Linked DNA regions of Struthio camelus. The protein of the gene in region 2 purifies or fractionates together with the protein of the main gene of each other region. This does not show direct contact. Links are inferred from orthologs where the notes say so. Each region holds a gene or a part of one and is shown on either strand. Other genes may lie near its edges.

Region 1 (3,743 bases), on a different chromosome or scaffold from region 2:
GGTAGCTTGCATTCTGGGCCAGAGCACATGATCCTATCTCCTTGCTCTTCCAGAGGACGGCAAATACTCCTTAGACATCTCTCCGGTCTCCCAGGCCTTTAGCTCAGCTGGGAGGGCTGGTGATTTGAAGGAGGGTGAGGTTGCATCAGCACAAGGGAGCACTTAGGCCAAAAGCAGGCACTGGTGGAATATGGGCAGTATATCAGCTCCTGCTACTGGGGGGGCCTCTGGAGAGGCCAGCTGGGAAGAAAAAAAAAAAAAAAAATGTATCTGAGCTGCCAGTCCTGACTCCAGCACTTACTGCTAAGGCTCCATTAGGAGGCAATAGTACATAGCTTTCTTGACAGGCAGCGTTATTTGCCTGCAGGAGGCCCGGCATAGCTAGCAGTGAGCAAGGCATGTAGGATGGATCCCACCTTCTCCACAATCACTGTGCAGAACCACCTCACTAGAGCTGCTGGGAGAACAAACACACACAACACAAGGGAAGTTGGTTTCAGACTTTTATTTTTTCATACTCTTTAAGCTGGAGCGATTGAAATAGAAACCATGTTTGAGTCCCGTTAGAGGAATGACTTCATGAAGACAGGGCAGGCAGTCACCCCTGCCCCATGCCAACCTGTATAAATACCAGTTGCCACTGATTAGTAACTAGACCGTTTTGATACAGTCCATGAATGGTCATAGATTACATAACACAACATGCCAGTTCAGAACAGGAAATAACTTATGTGTACTTCTTGATTTCGTCGTACAGGACTAGGACAAAAGCACCACCCATTCCTCGGAGTACATTCGACCAAGCACCTTTGAAAAATGCCTTGGAACCCTCATCGCGGGCAATCTTCCGCCAGCAGTCGATCGTGCCGGTGTACATTATGTCAGCTGCAGGAGATAAGAGACTGTTAGGAAACTGATGCCCATGACCCCCAAAACGAGGTGAGAAATGGCCTAACTTATCTGCCAGCTTCACAACCTCAAGTCAATCCTGTTTCTTGTCTTACATTCTCCAGAATTATCACATTAGAGGACAATATTGTCCAGGAGATATGCTGCAGCTGCAGCACCCCTAGGAGACACTGGAAAGACCGGTTTGAGCAGGATGCAACTACTGTTTGCTACACACCAACACTTCCAGATCCAGCACCCACTGCACAGTCAGCCAGGCCATGCCTGCAATGAGGAACATCTCTTCTTGGCCCAGAGACACTGGTTTGCAACATCCTTGGGCAAATTATGCTGCTATTGCCTATTCACAGAAATCTTGCTTGTGCATGCCACGTTATAGGAGTTCAGAGTGGACGGATCCATCTGTTCCTCCCACCTAACATCTACCTAGGCTCCTGGAGCCCCTCTCACACTGTTCTGTTTGCAAAAGTGGGGGGGGGGTAGCTACAGGTTTGCTGAAAGCAAAACCATTCTGCCTTCATCTGAGGTCTACGAGCAGCTGTTTCTTCAAGGATGCCCAACACTTCCCTACACAGGAAATGGAAACTTACTTCCTTTACGCCCGGACTGCATCATCATGCGACGACGAACCGTATCGAAAGGATAGGAGGTCAAGCCAGCAACAGCAGTGACCGTCTGAGCGATCATCCAGCTGATGACGATGTGGGTGTTCTTTGGGTCAGGAAGCATGCCTAGGGGACAGAGGGTTTTGCATGGGGACACCAGGCGAGCCAGCAGCACGTGCCAAAATAAGCTACAGATCTGCTGCGGTCCAGCATCTCTATTTCAACTAAATTTCAGTCCACCTACCCTTTGCGGTGTCGTAGATGCCAAAGTAGGCAGCTCTGTAGATAATGATGCCCTGGACAGACACATTGAAGCCTTGGTAAAGGCCCCTAAGGCCATCCGACCGGAAGATTTTGACCAGGCAGTCACCGAGCCCACTGAACTCTCGGTCAGCCCCCGCTTTACCCACATCAGCGGCCAGGCGGGTTCGGGCAAAGTCAAGGGGGTAGACGAAACACAGGGACGTGGCGCCGGCGGCGCCCCCGGACGCCAGGTTACCCGCAAAGTAACGCCAGAACTGGGTCCTTTTGTCAACGCCGCCCAGGAAGATCTGCTTGTATTTGTCTTTGAAGGCAAAGTTGAGCGCCTGGGTGGGGAAGTACCTGATCACATTGGCCAGGTTGCCGCGCCAGAAGGACAGGACGCCCTGCTCCCGCGGGATGCGCACCACGCAGTCGATGATGCCCTTGTACTGCTTGTCCGCGGCGATCTGCTTGCTGGCGTGCTGCACCTGCGGGAGGGCCGCCCGTCAGCGCGGGCCCCGCCGCCGCCCGCCGCCCCCCTCTCCTTGCGGCGCCCTTGGGGAGGCCCCGCCGCCGCCGCCGCCCCGGGCCCCGCCGCTCACCTGCAGCAGCAGCTTGACCCTCTCGATGGGGGCGACGGCGGTCTTGGAGATGGCGGCCGCCACCCCTCCGGCGAGGAAATCCTTGGCGAAGGACACGGCCGCATCGGTCATGGCGGGCGGCGGCGGCGGGCCGGGAGCGGAACCGGGAGCGGAGCGCGGCCGGGAGCGGTGCGGTGCGGTGCGGTGCGCGGGGCGGCGAGCGCGCAGCTGAAATGGCCGCCTTATATAGGGGCGGCGGGCGGCCACGTGGGCGCGGGCGCGCCCCGGCGACGCGCCGCCGCGTCCCGCCCGCCCATTGGCTGCGGGCGAGGGGGGGCGGGGCCGCCGCAGCGGGGCGGGAGGGGAGGCGGCAGCCGGCAACCGCCGTGGAGGGGGGGGAGGGGGAGAGCGGGACCCCCCGGGGGGGGCCCACGCGCATCCGGCCCACGGGGGACGACGCGAGGCGCCGGGCCAGCCGCGGCCGGGCAGCAGCGGCTCTGCCCCGGGGGGGCTCCGGGTCGCGCAGCGGGGCGAAGGCGCCGCCGTGACTTCGGCAGGAGCCGCCGTGGCGCGACAGACAACGCGTCCGTGACGGAGGGGTCCGTCGCCGACCGGGCGCCCGCGCCCCGACACGTCCCGGCTTCGCCGCCGCCGCCGGGCTCCGGGCACCGCGGAGCCGCAGCGTTCGGGCCTACTGCGCCGGGCTGCTGCCTTCAGCCGCCGCGAGATGCGCCATGAGACCTAGGACCTGCCCCGCAGGGCGAGGCCCCTCAGTGACCCCTCACCCGCCCACGCGCTTCCGCTGCGTTTTGGCCTTGTTGTTATCGCACCGCTCTTCACGGTGGCACCGCTCATGGCTCCATGAGCCATCACGGGCCATCCGCATGGAGGCCACCGCTTGCACCGCTTCACGCTTGCACTGCGGTGACCCGTTGCTGAAGCCCTTTGTTTCAGCGCTGCCTTACATGCTCTGCTGTTCCTCTGGGGGATTTCACGTGAGTAGCTGTCATTACACAAGGTGGAAACTTGGTTAAGGTTAATAAGTGATTTATAGGTCTTAGGAATACATTACAATACAAAGAAGGTGTCATTAGCATATCAGAAACAAGTTAGAGGTAACTTTTTAACTCACTTAACTCTGATCAGCTTTGAAGAGCTGAGCAAACGTTCATATGCGCCCATCACTAACGCTTTAAGTTCTTTACAGAAATACAATGTTAGTAAAACACATGAATATGCTTGGACCAGGTAAGGACACCCTTTAAGAAATCAGTTCCTTCCCAACTCATTCCAGTAGTGACCCGAGTCACGTTTCCTTATTCACACATCCCAAATAAATCTCAGCGTTATTATCTGCAGATAGGGAAACTGAGGCACAGCAGGTTGATGAAAGAGCCAGTGGTAC
Region 2 (3,743 bases):
GCACAAAAATGTAAGAACTCTCAGTGACTGGGACAGCAATGCCCAAGTTTTTCAGGACCAAAACGCCAACAGACCAGAGACAGTTTAGCCAGCGCTACGTGGGTTCTGAAGCGTTACTCAGAGTGCTCAGTTCTGCTTCTTAAGAAGAGTCTGTTTTAAGAAACTCAAGCCAATCACCTAAGTCAGGTGTTCAATAAACACGATGCATATCTATCCACAAGGCATGAAAACCTAAGCAAGAGCTTCAAATAGATCCATACTCCTACCATCATCCTCCAAAAGGTCAAACGTTTATCTAACAAAATCCAGTTTAACTAGATAATTTACTTTATTAACTAACACTTTTCTTTGAAAAGCAGCAAGAGGTACCAGAAATATTGTCAGATTACAGGAAGATTGCATCAATCACAAATGAAGCAACACATGCACAAGGCAAGAGAGCCTTGTCTCAGGAAGGCCCACCGTTGCAAAGCTTAGAGTGAAATTTAACTTCTAAATGCAACACCACTTTTTTTTTTTTTTAACCAAACCTGTGGACCTAATTGAGGCCATCAGGCCAAACCACTCAGGAGGGCAGAGCACACACTGCCCTCCACCACGGTCAACTTGAACCACTGAGGCCCTCTGCTCTCATCTCAGCCACCACACAGCCGACTTAACCTCTCAAGGAAGGGGAGGAGCCCCCTCGCTGCCCCCCCAGGCCCTCGCTGACAGCCCAGCCACAGGAGGGGACACGCAACCCCCCTGCACCTCCCCAGGCAAGGCGGACCTCACCAGCTCAGGACCTGTCCTACCCTCCCAGAGGGGACAGACACACAGCCTACACACGCTCCCCCTTTCCCTTCCCTACAGACTACAGCACCCCGCCCCCAGACCTATTTTCCTCTAATACACTCAGATGAGGAACCCTCAGCCCCTCACGCCGCCCTATATCGTAAACGGGGGCGAAGGGGCGGAGCCGAGGCCTCCCCTCTGCCACTCTATTGGAGAATGGGGCTGTCGCTCACTGGAACCGGGCCCGCCGCCTGGGGCTGTTGCCAAGCCGCCGCGGGCGCCCCCTGGGGGCGGCGGGGATCCCCGCCCGCCCGCCCGCGCGGGTTTGGCAGCGCGCCGCGCCGGTCACGGCCCCGGGAGGAGCGGGGCGGAGCGCAGCGCAGCGCAGCGGAGTGGGGAGCGGCCGCCGCGGAGGCTCGGAGCAGCTGGGTGACGCCGGCCGGGCGGCGCTGCGAGCGCGGCGCAGCGTGGCGACGGGCGGCCCCAGCCCTGCTCCCTTGGGCCGCGGCGGCCCGCGCGTGGGGTGAGCCGCGGCCGAGGAGGGGCAGCGGGGCGGCCATGGCCAGCGCCAGCCCTGAGGAGAGGGAGGCGGCGGCGGCGGCGGCGAGGGAGGAACAAGCCCTGAGCAAGCTGGTGGTGCGGCTCCAAAACGTGCAGGAGAGGAAGCGGCTGGAGACGCTGGTGCAGACCCTGAGCGACCTGCTGGAGCTGGCGGCCCGGCAGAGCGGTAAGGCGCGGCGGGCCGCGCTGCCCCCCCCCGCCCGGCGGCGGCGGGCGCTAACGCGGCCTCTCTGCCTCCCCCCTCTCCGCAGCCCCGAAACTCTTCAACGGCAGAAACGTCCACGTGCCGGTGCTGGTGGTGGCCGACCTGTACGCGGGAGCGGCGGGCGTGCAGCAGGTAACCGCCGGGCCGGGAGGGGAGGGGAGGGGAAGGGGCCGCCGCCGCCGCCGCGGCCCGGCCCGGAGTGAGGCGTGAGGCGGGGACGGGGCGGCCCTCGCCGGCCGGGGACGGGGCCGGGGCCCGGCCGCCGCCGCCCTCCACAAGGGCGAAGTCGGGAGAGGAAACGGCGGATTAAAGCGCCTCTGGGCCACCCCGGTGCTCTCCGGCTAAGCCGAGCCTCTCCGTCCTTTCCTGGAAGAAAAATTACTGCTTGGCTCTTTCTTTCCCGTTTTCTTAATTTTCGTATGTTTGAGAAGGCGACCCTCGGAAGGCTGTTGGTCTGCAGAAGGACGCGGTGTCTGCTTGCTTTTAAAAGGGATGGCTCTTCCAGCTCGTCGCTGGTGCTGCTTAAGCAATAAAAGGAGGTAGCGTAGAAAATAGAAGTCAAGCAACGCGAATACGGTATTGCATAGGTTCTGCGTTACAAATAACGTTATCTAGCGCGTTCTCGACCTGATGGTATTACCCTTTGCCGAGGTTGAACTGACTTTTGAAAAGTGGAATGATACAATACGAATCCAGACATCTGTAGCCCTATCCTACAAGAGAGTTGTACCAGCCGCTGATTTTTTAGGAGAGGAAAATTCTTCTTTTAGCTAAGAAGAGGTTCTGCAGTCTATGGTCGTGCTTGGCTTTTGCCCTCCCTTGACATTGGCCCAGTTGGATTAGGTGTGGCACATCTGCAATTTGATGTTGTACTTGCAGTGCAGTTGCCAGATTTGTCATATGAAACAACTCCTTCTTGGCAGGCATATATTAAATTTACGACTGTGTTATTCCCAAAGGACGTTCATAAATTGTAGATGTCTGTGCAATGCGTTCGCTTTTTTGTTAAAAAAAAATTGTATGATTGCAACATTTCTGGCATCTTTTTTTTTCTATTCACTAGAAAGCAAACCATAAATGATGTCATAAAAGCGGCTTAAATAATGGTACTATTTAAGAGCACGTTTCTTAAGCTACTAGACCTTAGCCAGAGGTCACAAATATACAATTCAGATTAAAATGTGAAACTGTACTCCTGCCTGTGATGTGTAATGTTTACAGTGGCAATAACAATCCTCTCAAGCATATTGCCTCTCGAGCAATATGCTCTAGAGGTCCCTGCTTGAGCAGGGAGGTTGGACTAGATGATCTCCAGAGGTCCCTTCCAACCTAAACGATTCTGTGATTCTGTGATTCTTTTGAACACTAAAATATCTGTGCAGAATTTGAAGTTTTAACTTATTTTACTATTCAATTGTTGGGTCATTAAGAAATACAGAAGGATTCCTCATCAATTACTTTGGGGATAAAACATATTATGTATGTAACAGTTTACAAAATTAACGTCCAGAAGTTTGGACTAGGAAGTACAAAATACGAAATCCAGTAACAACCAGGAGTAGGTCTGAAATGACTTTGTGGAATGCTTAGACGTGCATAAGGAAGATAGAGATCATTTAATTTTCATTTTAGCTATGCTAACACTCCTCTTACATGATTTAATGCAGAATTTTAAAACAAATTTTAATCTTCACTCTGCCTGCCTTTGCAATCTCACAGTGCTTCAGTTCAGAAGTTTCGGAGCACTTTTATGTTACTACATTGTATATGAGTGTCAGATTCATAGCCAGGGCAAAGCTCAAATCCTGTTACTCATAAAATGCCGTGGGCAGCTATTCCTTCACTTTCTGTTACGATATTTACAACAGTAAATCCCACAGTATAGGAGTGGAACTCTATCTTCCTTGCTTCATCCACTGTGATTCATTTGCAGTCCTTATGAATACACAAATCTCACTTCAGGCACTGAGGGAGTCATGTAGTCTGCATTTCAGTGCAGTCCCTTTATACTACTAAATAATTTTTGTTGAACAAATTGGATAATCAGCCAGTAGCCTCTTTTGCTTTTGGCATTGTAATAAAATTGATTCGTATAAGCGAGTCAACGCAGTAAGAGCTCTATCTGAAGTGAGGATTGTCTTTTCCTCTTCTGCTTAGCTGGTTACAAAGCATCTCGTGCTGCTGTTCCACTGAGTAAATTTGC
Region 3 (3,743 bases), on a different chromosome or scaffold from region 2:
ATGTCTACATCACACTTCATGATTGAGTTGAAAGTGGTCTCATGAATGCCACAAGACTCCATGCCTAGGGAGAAAAGAGTTGCAGGCTTGTTAGCACACACACGCAGCACCTCATTTCAGCCATGCCAACCCCCCAGCTCAGCATGCAGCCAGAGCAAACTCCCACACCAGAGGGGCACTCCAGGTGCCACCGGTCTCTCAGGGCGGCTCTGGCCCATACCTACCCAGGAAGGATGGCTGGAAGAGGGCTTCCGGACACCTGAACCGCTCATTGCCAATGGTGATCACCTGACCATCAGGCAGCTCATAGCTCTTCTCCAGGGAGGAGGAAGAGGCAGCAGTGGCCATCTCCTGCTCGAAGTCCAGGGCGACATAGCACAGCTTTTCCTTTATGTCACGGACAATCTCCCTTTCAGCTGTTGTAGTGAAGCTGTAGCCTCTTTCTGTCAGGATCTTCATGAGGTAGTCTGTCAGGTCACGGCCAGCCAAGTCCAGGCGCAGGATGGCATGGGGCAGAGCATACCCCTCGTAGATGGGCACAGTATGGGTGACACCATCCCCAGAGTCCATAACGATACCAGTGGTACGGCCAGAGGCATACAGGGACAGCACAGCCTGGATGGCAACGTACATGGCTGGGGTGTTGAAGGTCTCAAACATGATCTGGAAGAAAGAAGAAACAGTTCAGCATGGAACAACAAGCTGGGTCACTCACACCTGTGTTAGAACATGCATGTTGACATGCAAAAACTGATGTGTGAAAGAAAAGCAAAGAACGCAGGCAGAAAACACAAATGAAAGAAACCTGAGACGTCAAGGAGGAAATGCCAGGAGTAGAGAACCCTGAAAACATTGGGAGAAAAAAAACTCAGGTTTAAGATGCCATAACAAAAGAGGGTTTGTGAAGATGGAGGTAAGCGGCGGCTGCTGCCCAAGGAAGCGTACCTGTGTCATCTTCTCTCTGTTGGCCTTGGGGTTCAGAGGAGCCTCTGTGAGCAGGACAGGGTGCTCCTCGGGAGCCACACGGAGCTCATTGTAGAAGGTGTGATGCCAAATTTTCTCCATGTCGTCCCAGTTAGTGACAATACCGTGCTCAATGGGGTACTTCAGGGTGAGGATTCCTCTCTTGCTCTGGGCCTCATCACCTACGTAGCTGTCCTTCTGCCCCATGCCCACCATGACGCCCTAGGAAGGGACGCATGAGTCAGCTCCGCGCACTGCAGCACCGCCCCAGGCACACCCACTCCGGGCAGGGCCCTCCCAGCTTACCTGGTGTCGGGGGCGCCCAACAATGGAGGGGAACACAGCACGGGGAGCATCGTCCCCTGCAAAGCCAGCTTTGCACATGCCGGAGCCATTGTCGATGACGAGCGCTGCAATTTCTTCTTCCATTTTGAAGGATCTGATGTCGGGGGGGGGGAGGAAGAGACAGAGCCCTCGCTCAGCAACCCAGCCCTGCCGTGCCCAGCGCCACGTCACGCCCGCACCCTGCACCGGCTGGGGGCCGCGGCCCCGGGAGGCCGCGCTGGCAGCGGGCCAGCCCGAAGCTCGGGGGGGGGCGGGCAGGGGGGTCCCGCAGCGCGGCCAGGAGGGGAGGGCCGGCTCCCGCACGGCACGGCGCCAGGCGGCCGCCGCCCTGCGGCGGGGCGGCTCCCCGGGGGGCCCCCGCCGGGCCGGGCCGGGCCGGGCCGCGCCGCCCCAGCGCGGCAGCCCCGCGCCCGCCCCGCGGTTTGAATCTCCCGCGCCCTGACGTCACCCGCCTCCGCGGCCAATCGCGCCCCACCCTCCTCCGGCTCGCGCGTTCTTCCCCCTCCCCCCTCCCTTCCCAACGGCCCGGCTCCCATTCAAACGGGCGAGACCACTCCGGTGGGGGGAGGGGTGGGAGAACACCAGGGCGGGCACAACCCACCCCACGAGCCAGCCGGGAGCGGCACGTTGCAAACCCCCCCCGCCCCCTCCCCCCCGGGGACCTCAGTGGCGCGGCCCAAGAGGGGCGCGAGCCACGCCCTAACGGCTAACGGCCACCGGCCCCGAGGGCGGCGGGGGGCTCGGGCCGGGCCGGGCCGGCCGGTACCTGTGCGGAGGAGGCTTCTCGCGGTGCGGGGAAGGGAGACGATACCGCCTGGTCTGCTGCCGCCGGCTGAGTGAGACCGTCCAGCTCCCAGCCCCACGCTTTTATACCCAGGGGGCGATGACCCCGCCCCGCCGGCCGAGAAGATCGCCATATATGGAGATCTTTCAGAAACACGCGCTCCCATTGGCTGGCGCGGCCCCGGCCACGTGGGGCGGCTGCCGGCCTGCCCCCGCCCCGCAGCACCCCGGAACCTGCATGGGGCGCAGAGGCCGGGGGGGGGGGGGGGCGGCGACCCCGGCCCCGGCAGCGCCCCGCGCCGGCCGCCAGCGCCGGGCACCCTCCCGCCGCCGGCGCCGCCCCGCGCCCGGCCCGGCCCCGCCAGCCAGGGGCGCCCCGGGCACGCCCGCGGGCAGCCGGCACCCCCCGACAGCGCCGTGCACCCCCCCGACAGCGCCGTGCACCCCCCGGGGCAGCTGTGCACCCCCTGACAGCCCTGTGCACCCCAAAGATTGCACCGTGCACCCCCCGGGGCAGCTGTGCACCCTCTGACAGCACCGTGCACCCCCCCCCCGACAGCACCGTGCACCCCGTGGGGCAGCTGTTCACCCCCCGACAGTGCCGTGAACCCCCTCCCCGACAGCACTGTGCACCCCCGACAGCACCGTGCACCCCCTGACAGCACCCCCTGCAACAGCTGTCCACCCCCAGATAGCACCGTGCGCCCCCCTCGACAGCACCATGCACCCCCTGTGGCATCAGTGCACCTCCCGACAGCACCGTGCACCCAAAGATAGCACCGTGCACCCCTTGGGGCAGCTGTGCACCCCCTCAACAGCACCGTGCACCCCCTAGACAGCACTGTGCACCGTGCCGCTGGGGCAGCTGGCACCCCCTCAGAAAGCACCATGCACCCCCTGGGGCAGCACCGTGTACCCCCTAGACAGCACCGTGCACCCCAAAGATGGCACTGTGCACCCCCCGGGGCAGCTGTGCACCCCCCCGACAGCGCCCTTGTGCAGCACCATGCGCCCCGCACGAGCACCGCCCCGTCGGCAGCACTGTATCCCCCTCGGAAGGCCTGTGCCCCCCTCGCACAGCACCAGGCACCCCACAGGCCGTGCCAGGCACCCTGACGCGCGCACCTCAGGGAACGCCGGGCGCCCAGAGACGGGGCTGCGCGCCCCTCGGACAGCGCCGGGCACCCTGCTCGCAGCACCGCCCCGCGGGCAGCACCGTGCACCCCGCAGACAGCGCCGTGCCCCCTTCACGCTGCACCACCCCTTGTGCAGCGGCACTGCGCACCCCTCAGGAAGCACTGTGCACCCCTCAGGCAGCACCCTGCACCCCACAAATAGCACCGAGCACCCCACAGAGAGCGCTGTGCACCCTCAGATGGTGCCGTGCACCCTCCAGGCAGCACCGCCCCGTCGGCAGCCCCATGCACCCTCTGGCAGCGCTGCACACAGACAGCATCCTGCACCCTATGGACAATGCCGAGCACCCCACGGACAATGCCGAGCACCCCACGGACAGCGCCGAGCACCCCATGGACAATGCCGAGCACCCCACGGACAGTGCCGTGCACCCCACAGACAGCGCCCCGGGGCCGGCACCGCTTTGCCATCAGCTCCGAGCGCCCCACGGGTGGGCAGGTGGCACCCGGCGTGCG

The links.
Region 1: the proteins of LRRK2 (region 2) and SLC25A5 purify together in Homo sapiens (co-immunoprecipitation; 3 studies listed by IntAct, with this or other methods). This does not show direct contact. The link is inferred for Struthio camelus from reciprocal best matches to the Homo sapiens genes LRRK2 and SLC25A5.
Region 3: the proteins of LRRK2 (region 2) and ACTG1 purify together in Homo sapiens (affinity purification with mass spectrometry; 3 studies listed by BioGRID and IntAct, with this or other methods). This does not show direct contact. The link is inferred for Struthio camelus from reciprocal best matches to the Homo sapiens genes LRRK2 and ACTG1.

The regions. Positions count from the first base shown.
Region 1 is NC_090952.1:12,063,007-12,066,749, forward strand, and holds SLC25A5 (ADP/ATP translocase 2), read right to left. Parts: upstream 2,648-3,743; 5' UTR 2,471-2,647; coding exon 2,360-2,470; intron 2,246-2,359; coding exon 1,759-2,245; intron 1,641-1,758; coding exon 1,500-1,640; intron 886-1,499; coding exon 728-885; 3' UTR 491-727; downstream 1-490.
Region 2 is NC_090942.1:16,688,135-16,691,877, reverse strand, and holds the start of LRRK2 (leucine-rich repeat serine/threonine-protein kinase 2), read left to right. Parts: upstream 1-1,232; 5' UTR 1,233-1,332; coding exon 1,333-1,501; intron 1,502-1,586; coding exon 1,587-1,672; intron 1,673-3,743. UniProt on the Homo sapiens protein: Serine/threonine-protein kinase which phosphorylates a broad range of proteins involved in multiple processes such as neuronal plasticity, innate immunity, autophagy, and vesicle trafficking.
Region 3 is NC_090960.1:1,595,150-1,598,892, forward strand, and holds the start of ACTG1 (actin, cytoplasmic 2), read right to left. Parts: upstream 2,230-3,743; 5' UTR 2,075-2,229; intron 1,403-2,074; 5' UTR 1,393-1,402; coding exon 1,270-1,392; intron 1,186-1,269; coding exon 946-1,185; intron 664-945; coding exon 225-663; intron 65-224; coding exon 1-64. UniProt on the Homo sapiens protein: Actins are highly conserved proteins that are involved in various types of cell motility and are ubiquitously expressed in all eukaryotic cells.